Mus musculus: one gene and its partners. The protein of the gene in region 2 interacts with the protein of the main gene of each other region in a pairwise test. Links are inferred from orthologs where the notes say so. Each region holds a gene or a part of one and is shown on either strand. Other genes may lie near its edges.

Evidence for each region. The genes of interacting proteins can lie anywhere in the genome.
Region 1: the proteins of Vps52 (region 2) and Atp6v1d interact in binary tests that used the Homo sapiens proteins (3 or more experiments, as listed by UniProt). The two-hybrid records come from large-scale screens. The link is inferred for Mus musculus from reciprocal best matches to the Homo sapiens genes VPS52 and ATP6V1D.
Region 3: the proteins of Vps52 (region 2) and Nfkbib interact in binary tests that used the Homo sapiens proteins (3 or more experiments, as listed by UniProt). The two-hybrid records come from large-scale screens. The link is inferred for Mus musculus from reciprocal best matches to the Homo sapiens genes VPS52 and NFKBIB.

What each region holds. Positions count from the first base shown.
Region 1 is NC_000078.6:78,857,787-78,863,814, forward strand, and holds the start of Atp6v1d (V-type proton ATPase subunit D), read right to left. Parts: upstream 3,853-6,028; 5' UTR 3,674-3,852; coding exon 3,633-3,673; intron 1-3,632. UniProt on the Homo sapiens protein: Subunit of the V1 complex of vacuolar(H+)-ATPase (V-ATPase), a multisubunit enzyme composed of a peripheral complex (V1) that hydrolyzes ATP and a membrane integral complex (V0) that translocates protons.
Region 2 is NC_000083.6:33,953,975-33,959,951, reverse strand, and holds the start of Vps52 (vacuolar protein sorting-associated protein 52 homolog), read right to left. Parts: upstream 4,153-5,977; 5' UTR 3,860-4,152; coding exon 3,770-3,859; exon of another isoform or gene 3,268-3,769; intron 3,023-3,267; coding exon 2,938-3,022; intron 2,104-2,937; coding exon 2,051-2,103; intron 1,936-2,050; coding exon 1,860-1,935; intron 1,663-1,859; coding exon 1,595-1,662; intron 1,352-1,594; coding exon 1,176-1,351; intron 728-1,175; coding exon 577-727; intron 290-576; exon of another isoform or gene 180-289; intron 3-179; exon of another isoform or gene 1-2. Other genes in the region: Rps18 (40S ribosomal protein S18), read left to right, coding at 4,332-4,334, 4,776-4,874. UniProt on the Homo sapiens protein: Acts as a component of the GARP complex that is involved in retrograde transport from early and late endosomes to the trans-Golgi network (TGN).
Region 3 is NC_000073.6:28,762,793-28,769,024, forward strand, and holds the start of Nfkbib (NF-kappa-B inhibitor beta), read right to left. Parts: upstream 3,853-6,232; 5' UTR 3,631-3,852; coding exon 3,452-3,630; intron 1-3,451. Other genes in the region: Sirt2 (NAD-dependent protein deacetylase sirtuin-2), read left to right, coding at 4,060-4,075, 4,840-4,886. UniProt on the Homo sapiens protein: Inhibits NF-kappa-B by complexing with and trapping it in the cytoplasm.

The sequences.
Region 1 (6,028 bases), on a different chromosome or scaffold from region 2:
CCTGAAAGATGTTACATTATGGCACTTGAACAGTTTTCCATCTGAAAGGGTAGTTAGCAGTGGGTGACTGCCGTGACCCTCCCACCAGAGTCTAATCCAGTGAAGCTGGTTCAGTTTCCAGCCCAAGCAAGAGCTAGCCACACCAATGTGTATACTGAACATTCTGCACTGTTGACACTAAATACCAGAATTAAGACTCAAAAGATTGGAAGAGGGGCTGGGAAGATGATTCAGTGCGTAAGAACACTTGCTTTTTGAGCATAAGGAGCCAGTATCCAGGAGGAAGCCCGAAATGTCTGCATGTGCCTGTAGCCCCAGCACTGGTGGGCAGAGATCCTGAGAGCACCCTCATTAGCCAGTCTAGCCCAAACCACAAGCTTACAGTTCCATAAGAGACTGTCTCAAGGCAAAGAGGGGGAAAGCAACTGAAGAAAAAAACACTAGACATCCTGTTTTGACCTCTACAGGCACAAGCACCCACATACTTGAATGCAACACATACACACAGGAAAGGGGGGGGGGTGTGGATGGGAAGAAACTTAGATAAAATTTAAGTTAATCCCAGCACTGCAGATTCCTACAAGTTTGGAGCTCATGGATGAACTGACGGATCAACTAAAGGTCGTTCTAGATGACTGTACCTCTGTAAATGGAAAGTTTTCAGTTACAGAGACTAAAGAGCTGGATAGGGAGTGGTGAACAGCTGTAAGCCAGCACTTGAGACCTGAAGGCAATAAGACTGGAAGCTGAAGGTCAGCCTGGGATATATAATAATGAATTAGAGGTGACTTGCCTAACAGTTACAAGAACCAAGATTTACCTGACTTCTATTAACTCCAATTTTTGTGCCTTTTTCGCCCTTGAGACAGTCTTATGTATCTCAGGCTGGCTTTGAACCCCTGGTCTGCAATGCTTCAGGCATGTGCCACCACACCCAGATTTATGTAGTATTAGCAAGTGGTGGCCAGGGTATTGTGGCCAAGTGCTCTACCATCTGAACCACATCCCTTTTGGACCTCCTTTGTTTCCATCCAGACTTGTTTCATGTTCTCTGGTGATACATGAAATGAAAGCAACATTCCACAGGACAATACTACCAAGCGAATGAAGGAGAAACCAAAACCAGTACTGTGTGATCTGGACCACGGCAGCTGTTGAACCTGCTCTTTTCTGTTTCAAAGCTGCTTAGCCCTAAAAAAAAAAACAAAAAACAAAAAAAAAAAAAACAAAGAAACAAGAAGTTTGACCTTCAACTAAAACATTGACTTTGTCTCCCGTTGAATCAAAGACATCTGACTATATGACAAAGAACCTGCTGTCAGGCTTTGGGGAAAATATTTACTTCCCACCCCTGACTTCCTCTCAGCTAGCAAGCAGAGTGCTCTCAAATAACAGTTTTCAGGATCACAAACCTATCGTTTCGAGCCGGGCGTGGTGGCGCACGCCTTTAATCCCAGCACTTGGGAGGTGGAGGCAGGCGGATTTCTGAGTTCGAGGCCAGCCTGGTCTACAGAGTGAGTTCCAGGACAGCCAGGGCTATACAGAAAAACCCTGTCTCAAAAAACCCAACCCCCCCCCCAAAAAAAACCTATCATTTCTCCTGTCTGAGCCCAAAGAAGCCCATTTTTCACCTTGTAGTCTTAAATTAAAAGTCCCAAAATAAAAATAAAAACATACCAGCATTACAAATAGTGATTAAATATGGCCAGACATTATTTATAACAGTAAGACCACTAGCAGCAAAGCAAAAAGGTGAGCGCCATTCTGGCTCACACAGGTGTGCCTGGGCACTTTAAAGAGCATGAGTTGCACTCAGGCAGGCTCAGAAAAGGGAAAGTCCACCTGTGGCTGTGTCAACTGTGCCTGCTCTCTGACAGGAACAGAAGTCAGGATTCTAGCCTCCCACAGAGACACAGAGACCCTGTCCTGGTTGATTACCTTACGAAGAAGGGTTCTCTCAGATCCCTGACACATTTATGAGTTAGATAAACTATATATTCAATTAAAAACCCTTTTTCTTTCAAAGAGAGGTCTAGGATCTATCAATCAGATGTCAGCTAAAACCAGTATTTAGTTCTCCTATGGGCTTTGAGTTTTGTTTGTTTGAGGCAGGCATGGTTATTTCTACTTTTAGGTGCTGGGGATTCAACCCAGGGCCTTTTGTATGCCAGGCAAGAGCTCTGCCTCTGAGATATTACTCAGTGGCATTACAGTTGGGGCTAGTGGCTGGGGAGTGGGGAGGAGAACTGTGGTCATCCTAGGATATGTCCTTGTGTTTCCAGAAGCCACCCTGGAATCGGATGTCTCAGTAAAGTTTGGATGGGGCCATTACATGCTGGCTTTGGGATCACCCTAGGGTCGTCCTGATCTTTAGCTGTTTCACGAGCACTGCACTTCCCCACAGCTGGCAGGTTTGTACAGTTAGTATAACTTGCCATTTCAAAGCCATTGGGGAGAAGGTTAAAAGTGTTTTGTTTTGTTTTTAAATAATTAAACCCTTTCATTCACTCAGAGCTACATATACCCTGGCAGAGACAGAAACTCATTCTGTGGTTTAAATGAAACTATTTAAGAGTCCTTGGGTCTATAAGTAAAAAGGCATAGGATAAGGTAAACAATACAGTCTGTCTCTCTCTCTCTCTCTCTCTCACACACACACACACACACACACACACACACACACACACACACGCAAAACCCTAAACAGGCCCCAAAACAGGACCACAGTGAGAGACCTAATTATCAGAATAAAAACTGATTTCCTTCTTCAGGAACAATTGAAGATGAGAGCACAAATACCCTTTTCTTTCCACAAGTTATTATATGTATTTGAGAAAACTTCAAGTTTTCACTTCATCACTTCTCCTAACAAGGATGTTAACCCAAAGCAGAAAGGCGGCCTGTAACTGAGCACATCCCAAGCAAGGGTTCAAGGAACAATTTTCTGTGGACCTTCTATGCATTAAAAAGATGCCTCCTTCATCCAGGAGACAGCCCAAATAAATACCCGCGTGACAGTGTCATGAGTGACACTTGCTAGACGTAAAGAGTGCAGTCATCACAGGGCTATAGGAATACCTCAGAAATGCAGGGATATCTTCCCACAGCAAATAACACTTGACGGGATCCAAGACTGAAACCTACAGCTGCGAGAGGGTGACACATTCAATGTCACTTTGGCTGAGGGGCCTTCTAGCTGCTTCCCTGTCACATAACTTCCCGTCTGGGAGCTTTGGTCAGACCTCAGCGTCTACATCTCAATCCTCAGCAATGATGAGCCCTGGGAGGTAGAGATGGCGCCGACGGCTCAGTTATGTAAACTCCGTGTGTGGCTCAAAGGGTGTGCGGAATGAGTGAGTAAAGGCATCGACCTCCAAAAGCTGCCAGCAGGTGAACCCCCTTTTCCTGTGGACTGGAACCACTTTCTCCGGCCTCTTCTCTCAGAAACAGCAGGGGAGGGGAGCGTTGGAAAGAAACCTCGCTCGGAACTCAGAGGAAACGAAGACCCTGGGGAAAGCTCAAGGAGCGACCCAGAAACCAAGGAACCTTGCTGGTGGCCAAGGGTACGCAGGAATGCGCGCCGGGAAGATGTGCCTGAACACGGTTGTCGCTTGTCCTAGTCTTTAACTTACATTCGCGAAGGGAAGATTTCAATCCGGTCTTTGCCCGACATCCTGACGGTGACTCGGCTCGGGCCCCCCGGCGAGACAATCGGGACCGCAACACCTCCAGAACCGGTTACCCCAGTGCCCGCCTCCACGGGAGTCAGCTGACCGGGTCACTTGACAACTGCGTTGCTAAGAGGCAACCAGGAAACCGGTTCCCACTTCCGGTTCCTGTTGGGCGAGGACTGAGGGAGGGGGAGGAGACGGAATGCCCGGATGTGGAAGCGCGCACAGTCCGGAATTCCGGGTCTCTCCACCGCCCCTCCCTCCGGCGAGTCGCCGGCACCCAGCACGCTCTGAGGGATGGGTCAGGAGAGGATCACGCTCCTCCTCTTCCTCGGCTTTCCGCCATTCGTCACAGCGCCCTCTCTTGGTTGACTAAAACTTAAAGCGATCATCCTGGAGCAAGAAACAGAAACTTACCTCTCCTTTAAACCTAGCAAGTTCCCTCCGCAAAAAAATCTATAAATACCAGGGGCAGTGACTCTTCAGCTCGTCCCTTGGTTCACACCGCCCATATTAGGAGGACCAAGACTCTATGGTTAGTGGCAACGAAGGATCCTTTTCTGTCGGCGCCTGCGCAGTGAGAGGTGGCTCCGCATGCGCGCTGGGTTGGGCGAAGCGCACGCTGAGGAGCTTCGGCGTCCGGGGTTGGTGTTCCGAGTCTCCTCGTTGCCACTAAGCAGCACGGCGTGGGACCCTACTTCGGGATTCACACATCCACTTCAGGTGACCGGCCCCGCAGCTTGCTCTCCCCGAGGATTCGCCTTGGTTTTGTCCAGTGCGGCTAGGCCCCGGGCTACCCCCCCTTTCCCGTTCTTGCGCGGGAAGTGTCTGGACCCCGTCGCCACCGCCCGCTGGTGATTTCCTGCGCCCTCTCGCCAGCCGGTGTCTGCTCCTGCGAGCCAGAAACGTGGCTGGACGGGCGGAGGAACCCCTGAAGGAACGTGGGCCAAGTAGATTTTTACAGCCTCCTTAAAGATGTCTTGTGGTGGGGAGGCCTCTGGAGAACCCTCGACTCCAGTCCCACTCCTAGTTCAAGACGATTGCTTTTACCGGACCGGAGAATTTGGGCTTTTTTTTTTTTTCTTTCTTTTATCCTTCTTTTCAGCCCCAAGATACTGCCAAAACTTTTCTCTCTGTGGAGACTGAACTTTTCGCCAAAGAAACAATAGGATAAACCACCATATTTAAGTTAAAAAAAAGTCCAAAATGGAACTATTAGTGTTGAGGTCGTTAAGTTTTCGCTCTAGCTGTGCATTTCTGTATGAGTGAATTCCTGGAATTTAAAATCAGCTGTTGAAGTTATTTGCCCTGTTTGGGTAACTGCGAAAATAAAACTGGAGTTTTGTAATTATGGACGCTGAAAGCGTAAAACTTTAGAGTTAAGTGTGTACTCGCATTGGGGCTCTTAAACACCCCCTTATATTTAGGATGCTTTAATTTCCACTAAGGAACAAACATTGTTTCTTGAAGAAAGGGTACATCAGAAAAGTCTTGATTTTTCTCCTCCTCAAGTTGTTGTTAAAGAGGTGGAGACCCTCGACAGTTCATCAAAAATGTCAGTTATGAAATTGTAGTGCTTTTTCTGTGCCTATGATGCCAGATGGTGGGCCCTGATTCTCAAAAGACTTAGTTGTACTAGTAAACTTTAGAGCTGAACAGCGTTTTCCCAGCGTGGTACATTTTATTTTGGAATGTTCATTGCCCATATCTGCTATGGTGACATGACAATGTACCGACTCTAGAAGTTAACAGGGGCAAAATACTAATAATGCAAGGTATTTGAAACTAGCTTTGAAGTGTGTTTTTGTTTGTTTACATCAGAACACATACAGTCTGTATGGCATTAACTACAGAAGTGGGATCCCTTGTGAGAGGTGTGAGGTACACATATCTTTAATCCCAGCACTGAAAATGCTTGAGGCCAGCCAGAGCTGCACAGTGAAACCCTGTCTCTAAAGGGGGGGTGGGAGAGCCCTTAACATTGTCATACTGTGTGTGATACAGGGAAACTTTGTGGATATCAGATTTTGTGTTAAAGACTTGAGTTTAGTTCTTGTTTTTAGTGTATATTATGTATCTGTCTTTGAAGTCACTTATATTTCTGTTCCTTGGTTTCCTGTTAATACTTTTTTGGGCCTTTTCAGAACACCTTGTAATCCTAATTTGTTTTCCCACTAGTACTTAATTCCCTAGGGAGGGATTTTTGTGTCAGAATTGCTTAATACTAAGTAATGACTACCCCCAAAATTGTTTTAACAGATTAAATTGCAAAATGAAAAAAGTCAGAATGCTTTGAAAATTATCAAAAAGGACTGAATAAATTCTTGATTTCTGTTTTATTGACAGAAAAAAAAAAA
Region 2 (5,977 bases):
CACTGTACGGCAGGAATGGGGTGAAGATAAAGCAAAGGGAACAAATACTTCGGTTGTGTTCTGGTTATGGAAACAGGGTCTCTCTGTGCAGCCCTTGCTGGCCTGGGACTCACAGAGGTCTGCCTGCCTCTGCCTCCTGAGTGCTGGGGTTAAAATCCTGCACCACCACACCCGGCCTTATTTTTCTGGGTTGTTTCATTTTGTAAATATGATTCTTACTTGCACAGGGACCATGCTAATCTTCTCTGTATTGTTCTAATTTTAGTGTCTATGCTGCCAAGGTGAACACTGCTTGGTTTTGAGGCAGGGTCTCATGTATCTGTACTGGCCCCAAACTCTCGTTTCTCCTTTCACCTCCCAAGTGCTAGGACAACAGACTTGTGCCATCATGCCAATGTATATGGCACTGGGGATGGAACCTGGGGCTGCATGCATGCTAAGCAACCGCTCTGCCAACTGAGCCACATCTCAACCTTCTTTAGATTTTCAGGGGATCTGGAGGGCCAACCACGCTCTGCACAGCGGGAAGCAGTGTGAAGCTCCTGGAAAGCTGATTCTGAGCAGACCACTCCCCACCTTGACCCGGAGCCGGTCCAGCACGCCTCTGACGTCAGCACAGGCAGCGGTGCCCATAGCCTCCTGCTCTCTCACCGCGGCTGCCTTGGCATCCAGCTCCTGTAGCTGCTCCAGGAACCTGGGCTCGGTCACTGGAGCTTCCAGAATTGCTCTGAGGAGCACGGGAGAATGGGTGTGGTTAGACGGGGTACCCCACAGCCCTGAGAGAGCCCCCTCACACCTCACATGTCATTTCTGCCTTTCTCTGTGGTCTCATGCCTTCAAGATAATATGTACAAAGTTTTCATCTCCTGAGCCACACTTCCTCATGTAGCCTTGGAGCACTCTTAACCTGTGTCCTATCCTATGGAGGGTAAAGCAGGGTTCGAAGTTCTTAATCCATCCATTACAAGATCTCACTCTATAGCCCAGGCTAGTCTACTTGCAGCAATCCTCCTGTCTCAGCCTCCCAAGCATATAATTACGGGCATGAGCCGGCACACCTGGTTTCTAGATGGTACCTGACAACCCCAGCCTAGAGACCTATGTTGTAAATTGTTTAGGTAACCCAGCCCAACCACCTGCTTTGGACATTACTACCTTTCAAACCAGTGACTCACGTGACCAGAGCAGAGGGCACCACCAGCCCATCCACAAGTTCCCCAAGTTTCCCCCGAACTGCCTGTCGGTTACGAAGTCGGATGTTCATGGCCCCCGACTGCTCCTGCAGGGTTCGGATCTCAGAGCTGATGGAGCTGAGATCGCTCTGAAAAGCTCCCAGCATCTGTTCCATGCGCTGTGGGGAGGGCAGGAAACATTGTGGGCATGACTCCGGGTTGTCGGGGAACAAGGACAGGTGTGTCAACCAAGTCTCTGTGCAAATCCCTGGTACCCAGCAACCCAGGAGGATGGGAGATCATCACTTGTCCAAGGGGGACAAAAAATACTGATAGAAGAAGAAGGAGAGGAGGAGGAGGAGGAGGAAGAGGAGGAAGAGGCAATTAAGTCAGATTTGGGGCAACAGGTGAGGGCCACCCACCTCCAGGACGGCGTCACAGGCCGTGATCTGATTGTGCAGAGACGCTATGTTTTCACTCTCTTGGATATCTGACCCACAAAAGTCAAGGGCTTCACACTGAACACAGAGCTCTGCCGATCTGCAGTACCTGCCCCCAGGTCCTCCCCAAAGTGACAGAAGCCTGAGAGAGAAGACATCCCCTTGAGGGCTACCTGCATCACAGGCCCCCAAGAGCCCATGCCAATAGCAGCCATCTTGGCCCTGTGCCTGTGAGGCTGGAGGATACAGTCCCGGATTGACTTCTGCTCAATCTGCTGCAGCTCCAGCTCCACCTGCTTTGAATAGTGTCGAAGATCCACACCCTGGGGGGAAGGACAACCAGTACAGACTCCGTGACTGGCTAGAGGGGAGCCACTAAGCTGAGGGGACCCCAAAAGGAAGGGAGGGTGGGGAGATCAACCCAGTGGAGAGCCTCACCGTTTTGAGAGCTTCCTTCACTAACTCATCCTCCAGGTTTGCCTGGATGTGAACTGGAAACAAGCTTATATTTAGTGTCCCCTGCCAGACCTCCCTCTGCCCACACTGGGCACACGCACACCACACCAATCTCCCCTTCCCTCCCAGCCCCCACCCTCTCCAGTTATAGGCACAGCTGCTTTGCCCGGTGGGACTTCCTGCTGTTTCTGCTCCTCATGGTCTACTCGACCACAGATGGAAAATATTAAAAGGGGATTTCCAAAGTGTGGCTTGTAAGATCTAAAATGTGTGGCATTCTGAGAAGCTAGAGAACCTCTCGCCTGGGCTTGGATCTGAAACATCTTTGCTCCGTTAATCTATGGTGTGTGCTGTGCCTGCCTCCCAGTCACTCAGTCTTAGCTGTCTGCGTATGTATGTTCAACCAGGCTGTATTCTTACTCAACAATAGTCCCAAAGGGGAAAAAGTGATGCTGCGATTTTATTATAGTGTATTGCTGTGACTATTCGACTCGTACTGTTCATTTCTTACTATTCCTAAATTAGAAGTTAAGCCTTCTCAACTCATGGATTAAACTTTATCTGTACATTAAGAAAAAAGCCAGCCGGGGGGTGGTGGTGCACGCCTTTAATCCCAGCACTTGGGAGGCAGAGGCAGGCGGATTTCTGAGTCCGAGGCCAGCCTGGTCTACAGAGTGAGTTCCAGGACAGCCAAAGCTACAGAGAAACCCTGTCTCGAAAAAAAACCAAAAAAATAAAAATAAATTAAAAATAAAAACACACACACATACAAAAGAAAGAAACCATAGAGGGTAATCTACTGGGGTCATGTAATATATTTCTAAAGAATAAAGGGGTCTACTTTGCTCCCACCCCATGTCAGCACTTACCATCCACTTCATCCAAGATGAATTCATCAGAGGTGATGTCCAACTCTCCAAGTTGTAGGGGTTCTTGGAGTCCAGAACCCCCCCCCTGAAGAGGGACAGGTTAATGAATGTGGGATACAGAAAGAGATGTTGGAAACAAAACATAATCGGGTATCCTTAATCCTCCAAGTGAGGTGGGGGGTGCTTTGGGGGGTGGGGGGTGCCGGAGTAAGTGGGTCAAAGATTCTGATGCGTTCAAATCTACAATCTTGGGCTACTGAGAATATCAGGCAATTCATGGAGTTGCTGGAGTTGTTCAAATGAGAAAAAACTAGGACTAGTCAAACTTGCCTTTGAATTTAGGACCTCAGTTTCCAGCTATTCCAGGTGATCCCTGAGGGAATTCCAGAGGCTAAAATCGCCAGCTTACATAGTGTTTACCCCTGTGTCTGGTACACCATTTAACATGCTCATTCGGCTAATCCTAACGACCACCTATAAGGTATGTCCTAACAGCGTTTGCACTGTAAAGGTGTGGGAAGTTTTGGCACCGAAAACACAGCATAGCTTTCAAGCGGTGGGGCTGGAGGTGGGACCCCGGGCAAATTGGTTCCAGAGGCCACGTTCTTAACCTTTTACGCTAAACACTAAAATTTTTTTCTACTAAAAATCGTGAACAGGAAGCTGACACTGTCCCTGGGGCTTGGGTTTCAGCCACTTTGGTCCCTACGAAGGCTAGGTCACCATCACCCGTGGCAAGACGGCTCCGAACCTCTTGTCTAAATGGAGCCTACGCCTGAGGAGAGGGACAACCTGACGATACTCCGGAGGACCTACAGCCCCGTGCTCTCACCAGCGGGCCCTCCTCCTCCTCTACATCTGAGGCCCCAGCCCGCAACACCAGCTCCCGGGCAGCGGCCGCCATGGTCGCTGCGGCTGCCATTCCCCCGCAGCTTCACTTCCGACTTCCGGCAGCTGTCAGTCTCAGAAAGTCCGTTTCCCGAAGCAAAGCTACAAGTCCTGGAATGTCTTCTATGGAGCAAAAAAGGGTCCCAGATATTTGAGCTAAGGCGATCGGCTCCAGCCTCTCCGGTTAGGCTTTGATCATTTCGGTCAAGTGCAAACAGGAAGGTGAACGTCTCGAACACAACTCTGTTCCGGAACCTTCGCTCCGCGCCCACACAAGAACGGTACGACGACAGAGAAGGCCGAACCGGAAGTTATAGCTCCGGTCCCTTCCAAAACTGTCTCAATACAACTCCTCCCTTAGGGGGAGACGGGGAGAGAAGCAATTTCCGGAAGTGGACCTCCGGGGATAGCCCCGCCTCTTCCGCCAGGAATCTATATAAGACTTATACGTCACTTCCGCTCTCTCTTCCACAGGAGGCCTACACGCCGCCGTCTGTGCCGCCGCCATGGTAAGAGCGGAATCCGCGCCGGGATCCTGCGACATCGGAGCCGGGGCAGGGAGAGATTTCCGTCAGGACTCAGAGAGTGCCCCATGCTGCGGGCCCACAGCCCTCTGTGGAGCGATGGAGTGTGACCCGAGAGGGGACGACCTAAGACGTGAAATCCCGGGGATCGGGGCCCCGAGGAATGCTCGCTCCTCTTACACAGCAAAGCTGCCAGGAGCTTGGCTGTGTGTGGGCTCCTCCCGCTTCCCCTGTCCAGGGAATTGGGGGCCGCGGCCGACGTCCACCCTCTTGTCAGAGGTTGCGATTTCCCGCGCCTGAGCGCGTTAGGGGTGAGCCCCGGTGACTGAGGAGTTGTGTAAGAACTTAGCAGACAATCCAACCCTGCCTCGGCCACCTTCCCGGTTTGGGGGTAACCTGTCTTGATAACTGCCCGTGTTCTTTCAGTCTCTAGTGATCCCTGAGAAGTTCCAGCACATTTTGCGAGTACTCAACACCAACATCGATGGGCGGCGGAAAATAGCCTTCGCCATCACTGCCATTAAGGTAAAAGTGTTAGGGGCAAAAGAGAAGCAGCTAAACTCACCCAACCCGTTTCAATAAAAGCCTGATGATGACCCAGGGTTAAACCAAAACATTGCTCCAGGGGTAGTGGGGTGTGAGTGTAGTCATGTCCCACCTTGCAGAGGTTTCCCGAGATCTTCAGCTTCCGAGAGCAGTCTCTGCTGTCAGCAAACCTTGAGTAGAATTCCTGTAAACTAACATCCTAAGAGGTGTCCAGGCTTAGCGGTGATGGTTGGGGGTGGTCTGCAGAAGCTATTGGCAGATGCCACAGTGGAAGGTGACACAGAAGCTGGCAGTTTTCCCCATTATGGCAAAAAGGGAGGTCGTAGGAGGAAGCTGGGATGTTTCTCTGCAGAGCTAAAAGTCTTGTAGACAGGGACAGGACTTGAAGTTGGTGATTTGAGGAGTTGCTGGTCAGGTGTGTTCAGCCATGAGACCTGTCAGTGGTGGGACCTTGTGGGATGCTAGGGTATAGATGGAACTGGGTGGCTGCTGAGAGGTTTGAAGGAGGCCTGGGGAGCCGAGGTAATGTCAGGTGGACATAAAAGTTGGAGTAAATTTTTTTAACCTTGTGAAGTCTCACTTTTAAGTCCTTGCCATGTTGACTTTTTTTAATTCTGCACTTTGGCAAACAATGATAGCACAGCAGGAGGTGCCTGGTGTGGTGGGCAGAGCAGTGTCTAGGGGGTTGAAGGGCCTGGGGCAATGCCTGTGCCCCGTGTGACCTGCTGGGAGATGATTACAGCTGACTTCGAATGCAGACAAGGTGAATGGAGGCTCTTGAAGGGGCTGTGCACAGTGTTTGTAGAGCCTGGGTACTGAGGGTTCTGTTGGTCCTGTGTGAGAGGGTGAAGAACACATCTTTAATGCCAGCACTCCCTGAGGCAGAGGCAAACAAATCTCTGGGCTTGAAGCCAGCCCGATCAATAAGTTCCAGGGCTACACAAGAAAAAACAAAAAAAAACCTGCCTGGAAAACAAAAGGGTGAAGCTGATTGGGAGGTGGGTGGTGGGTATTGGGAGTTTGAGGAGAGAGATTTCGGGGTGAGTTCCTCCAGAGGTGATTGCAAGCTGACCAACAAAGGG
Region 3 (6,232 bases), on a different chromosome or scaffold from region 2:
CATAAACATACACATACACACAGACAAGCTGGATACGATGGCTCTCACCACACACATACACAGACACACACACACACACACACACACACACACACACACACTCAGTGTAGCTCTAAGAACAGACCTTCAAATTACATAAAGCAAAAGCTAACAAGGAGAAGAAGCAACAGACGAATCCATAGGTGTGGTAACTTCACTAGGTCTCTGTCACCAACTGTTCCAACAAGTAGGAAAGCAGGAGCAAATGAACGGCAGGGCTCTGTGGTGGCTGCTGCCCTGTCTTTGCAGTCATGAGGACTGAACCTAAGGTAGCTTGCATGCAGGGACGCTGGCTGCCACTGAGCTACCTGCTATTGGTTCCCCTCATTTTGAAGTAGGGCCTCGCTGTGAATGTCCCCAGCCTGGACTTGAATTCACTCTATTCCTCGGCAGGTCCTGACCTTGAGCTCCTCCTGCCTCAATCTTCTTTGTAGCTGGAATCACACGCCCAGCTTTGAACAACACTGCTAACCAACATTCCCTCTAAGTCACACGTTGTCAAAATGAATTCCACCGGCACACAGTTCCCGAGAGCACTCGCCCAGCACTCAGAAGGCCCTGGGTCTGATGGCCAGCGCTGCAAGAGAAAAACTAGAGACCGCAAATCAGACAAAACATGTTCTCTGCCCGCAGTAAAATGAAATTTAAAGCTGGTAACAGAGAGATCTGGAAACTCCTCCAAGCGTGAAAAATGAACATACTTCTTCATAACCTACTGGCCAAAGGAGAAACCAAGAGAAATTAGAAAATATACTCATTTATGCAAAAATAAAAACACAATATATCAGAAGTTCTCCAGAGGGAATATTTACAGCATTCCAAGCACATTAGAAAAGAAGAGAGATGAGCTGGGCAGTGGCTTGCTTGGTAGACTGCTAGCTTAGCGTGCATAAGAACCTGGGATCAATCCCAACTCTGCATAAACCAGGCACGCACCACCTTGCCCGGAATTCCAGGCAGGAAGACCAAGAGTAGGGTAGGGTAGGAGCAATGGCTTAGCAGTTAAGAACACTTGTTGCTGCCGGGCAGTGGTGGCGCACGCCTTTAATCCCAGCACTTGGGAGGCAGAGGCAGGCGGATTTCTGAGTTCGAGGCCAGCCTGGTCTACAAAGTGAGTTCCAGGACAGCCAGGGCCATACAGAAAAACCCTGTCTCAAAAAAACAAAAAACACTTGTTGCTCTTGCAGAAGACCCCGGTTTGATTTTCAGCACCTACATTGTGGCTCATAGCCATCCCTAACTCCAGTTCCAGGGGATCCAACATTTATACACATAAAGTAAAATTATTTGGGAAGCAGGGGCAGACATATCTCTGAGTTCAACGTCAGTCTGCTCTACATAGAGAATTCCAGGACAGCCAAGGCTACACAGAGAAACCCAATCTCAAAAAACCAAAAATAAATAAAATAAACCAAAGAAAAATTTCATAATGTGTAGACAGAATCTCTTATAGGCAACACCTGTCAATAAAAAAGCAAACGGCCAATGAGCTGAAGCAGGAAATAGGAGGTGGGACACTGGCAGGAAAAGAAAGGATTCTGGGAAATAGTGAGAGAATAAAAGGAGACACAGGGAGAGACACTGGAGGAGTCACTGAGAGAGACACCGAGAAAGACGATGCTAAGGAAGAAGCAGGCCCGAGACTGAAGGAAAACATAGAATGATTTAAATGGGTTAAATAAGTTATGTGTTAGCTATGGAATGGGCCAAAGCTTGTAGCCAAGGCATTTATTAATAAATAGTTAATGCCAGAGTCCTTATTGTTGGGAATTAAGTGGCCGGAAGAAAAAAAAAAAAGGATTCATTTTTTTTTACAGTAGTGTTCAAGGCTAGCCTGGGCTACATAGTGAGACACTGACTTAAAAGGGGGGTGGGGTTGGAGGCTGGGAAATGTTTTGCTAAGTAAAGCACAGTGACCTTAGTTTAGAACCCACATAAGAAAAAGCTGGGTGTGATTGTAAGTATTTATAGTCCCAACACTAGGGAGGAGAACCCTGGAATGGAGCACAGTGGTGCGCGCCTTTGATCCCAGCACTCCGGAGGCAGAGGCAGGTGGATGAGTTTGAGGCCAGCTTGGTTTACATAGTGAGTTCCAGGCCAGCCACCCTGTCTCAAAGAGGAAGAGGAGGGTAGAGAGCAAGAGATGACCGCTGAGGCTCTCAGGCCAGCTAGTCTAGCCTACGTGCTCAGTGCAGCCCAAGGTTGCCCTCTAGTCCACACACACACACACACACACACACTCCCCAGGCGGGATGTAGTGATACCCACTTGGGAGCTGAAAGCAGGAGAATGAAATGTTCAAAGCTATCCTCAGCTACAAAGTAACCTCAAGGCTAGCCTGGGCTACATGAGACCGTCAAACACAAACAATCGAGAAAGGAAGGGGGAGGATAAAGAAAGCACAAAAACCAGACCCAAAGTAACCAGAGGGAAATAATAAAGGAACAGGAACCAACAAAGTAGAAAGTGAAAACTAAGGCAACTACTCCTGGCTCTTTAAGATGAGTGTTTGTTGGGTTCCCCTCATGGGTCAGGCACTGAGTCACTGGGCATACGCAATAAGCACAAAGGACAAGAAAATCCCGGGTACAATCCCTTAATGCACGCCGTCACCACAACCATCCCTTCTCCCCAGCTTATCTACTAATCAACATTTCCTACTCTTTAACCTTTTTTCAGTCACCCTCTCCTCCTTTTCCTCTTCCCTCCTTTTTGATACTGGGTCCTTCCAGGCTGTCCTCGGACTAGTGATCCTCCTGCCTCAGCCCCTCGAGTGCCAGAATGACAAGTGTGTACCATCACACTCAGCTAAACTAAAACCAGGGATTGGAAGGTGGTAGTTTGGGAGAAGCATTTGGCTAACAGATGAATCTAGCCTCATAGAATAGAGTTTCTACATCTTATGTAGCTCTGGCTGGCAGGGAACTCAATCAGGTGGCCTCAAATTCACAGAGATCCACCTGCCTTTGCCTTCCAAGTGCTGTGAGAGCCATGACACCCACCAGCTCAATTTCTTAACTGCAGGGTCAATACTGGACGTGTCAGCTTCAGAGACTCAGGGCCAAGAACTAGTTTTGAAATCAAAATCTGGCTTATACAAGAATAGCCAAAGACCAAAGACTACATCTGGAAGTAAGAGGTAAGAAGATGTGGGAACTAGAGTGGTCGGAAAGGTTCAGATCCGATTTGGGGATCAGGAGCTCAAATTTATAGAGTTCAAAAAAGGTGAGACACTTGACTGTGTGAAAGCGTACCAGTCTCACAATTTAGTGTTTGGGGGTTAAGGGCCAGGAAGTCCAGCATCGGAAATCAAGAGTTAGGAACGAGACGATACGAAGTCACAGGAATCGTAGGCTAAAGGGGACTCAGGTAAGATCCCAGGGCTCAGTCTAGTAATTTAAGGTTTACTCACGTGTCCCCATCCTCAGTGACGTAGCCAAAGACTAAGGGCGCCCACGACAGCTCTGGGCCAAGCTCTGCGCCCAGACCTGGTCCTCCGGGAGCCGCTGCGTCGGGACCTAGAGAGCCCAGGCCGCTGTCGCACCATTCATCGGCATCCGCAGTTTTCCCCAAGCACGCGACCCCGGCCATGGCCCCAGCCACCTCGGGTGGCCCCCTGTGGTCGCCTGCCTGTCGCTGGGCTCTGCGATGAGCTCCAGTGCTTCCGCCCTATCGGGAATTCCCCAACACGCCCCCTCATATACCCAATCAAAATGTTTTAAATAGCTACACCCCGCCCCTGTACTGCACCACAGCCAATCAGAAAAATGAGGTGGACATTCGCTCGCTGAGTTTCCCCACATTTTCCAGACGCCCTTTATCAATATGGCCGCCGGCGCCAGGCTTTTTGGGATTTGTAGTTTGATAACATGAGAGGCACATTGTACGAAAGCGGTTATGGGGATCGCATTGCCTGCCGGGAGTTGTAGTTCTCTATCCTATCTCGGCCTCTTCTTGTTTCCGCTGCCGTCACGGGACAGAGCAGTCGGTGACAGTCCCGAGGGCCCCCACCCCGTTCCCATGGCCGAGCCGGACCGTGAGTTAGGGGCCCTGTTGGGAGGGTGGGAGGGTCGGGCCGCGCCGGGGCCTGGCTTTGGGCTGCAGGCCCCGGGGCCCGAGGGTAGGCTCGGTGGGGCGGGAGACAGGATCTACCTGAAGGGAGTGGGATTCGGAGGGGTGTTGCTAAGTGGTCCGTATTACTAGGTTGGTTGGTTTCTGGATTGTGAAATGTAAGGGTCCGATTGTCAAGTTCTTAATGATCGCATTTCTCGTACTTTGGCTGCTGAGGACCCTCGTTGCTAAGGACCAAAGTTACCACTATCCCGGTTGCTAAGGTTGTCTGTTGTTAAGGGCAACTGTAGGATGGGTTCCGGGGACCCCTGTGGCCCCTTACTATCTCATTCCTTCAGTTCTTGTGCCTCTCCTAAACCTCCTACCTTCACTGCATCTCCTCTCCCACACTCAACTCTCAGCAGAAGTATCCCTACTTACGTCTCTTGAAAAACTTAGCCCTCCCTCATTCTCTCGACTCGCACATGCTACCATATCCTGCTTAACTCTGAAACCTTCCTTCAGTCCAGTCTCGCCTGCTTTCTCCTCCTAAAGATTCCCCTCCTCAGCCTTTTCACGTCACACATACCTCCACTCTAAAATATGCCTTTTCCCATCTCCGATAGTTTTACTACCATCCCTGACTCTGAAATAATTAGGTTGGTGGGTCCTCTTGTCCTCCACCATTGTGAGCCCTTCTGCTTAACTCTTTCCCCGCACTGTAACCACGTCTGCTCCCCTCCTCCCCAGCCTCTGACCCTCTGGAGACCCAGGCAGGGAAGGTGCAGGAGGCTCAGGTGAGATGGGGAAGGGGTGGAGGGAAGGAGAGACTTGGTTCCACGTGCCGCACTGGGGGGAGGTGGCAAGGGAAGGCTTTTACCCAAGGGCCCTTGGCTTATGGCCCTGATCCCCAAGCCCATCTGGGGATTAGTACAATCTCCTGGGAGAATGGTGGCTTCTTGGGACTGTCAAGGAAAATGTATAGCCTCAACCCCTGGTTCCCTTCCATATCGTCCTCGTTTCCTACTGTTGCCCATCCCATCCTCAGCCCCTTCTGAACCTCATTTGTGCTGGACCTGAAAGAGACGGTTTTCCAGTTCAATCCGCAAACTCAGATCCTATGAGGTGGGGGAAAGGACCCTATAGGGCACGTTATAAAAGTATCGAAGCTGGGTGTGGTGCCAGCCCCCTGTAATGCCAGCACATGGGGGGGGGCAGGGGAGGGGGGAAGTGAGGTAGGAGGATGGAGAAAGGAGAGGCAGCTTGGGCCATATGGTGAGACCCAGTCTCAAAAAAGGAGGGAGGAAGGGAGAGAGCATACCCCTGGAGTACCGGGCAAACTCTGTGGGTCAGAGATTATAGAAGATTCTAGCCAAACTCTCCCCTGGTGGAACCCACAAGCTGATCTAGGAACAAGACCAAGATATAGTCACAGTGTCGTATAAGTGAAGTGATAAGGGATTTTCTTAAATGAGATCGGAGGTGGTGTTCCATGCAGGGTACAGGCCTGAGAGCACGAAGGGATAGTAGATGTTTCAGTAGTTGGGTTGCTGGCGTGGTCATTTATTGATACTCTGCCTGAATTTTAATGTACATGACTTCATTTAATCTTTGCAGCATCCCAGTGAAGGGAAGGCCTCTCATGGCTGTGTTACAGATGAGCAGCTTACTTGGTGAAAACTGTTAACCCCTGTGTTCTTTGGGTAGAAAGGAAAGGGCTTGAAACTTATGGGGAAATGGGCTCCGAAAGATGCTGCAGCTTCAGTGGAGTGTAGATGAGCCATCTCAAAGATGTTTGAAGACACGTGCCAAGGCCTCCGGTTCCCCCAGAGGCCAGGTTGTCCTCATATACTCGAGGAGTGGTTCTCAATCTTCCTAATGCTGCAACCTTTTAATGTAGCTCCAACGGTGTGGTGTCCCTCCAACCATAAAATTATTTTGTTACTACTTCATAACTGTCCTTTTGCTACTGTTATGAACTATAATGTAAATATCAGATATGTAGGATATCTGATATGGGACCCCCCCCCCAAGAGAGGGTCGCTTGATCCCTAAAGGGATTGTGTCCCACAGGTTGGGAAACAGTGTACTGGACCATGCCTACAACCACTGAATGCCAGCATGCTCATCCTATGAGACCACA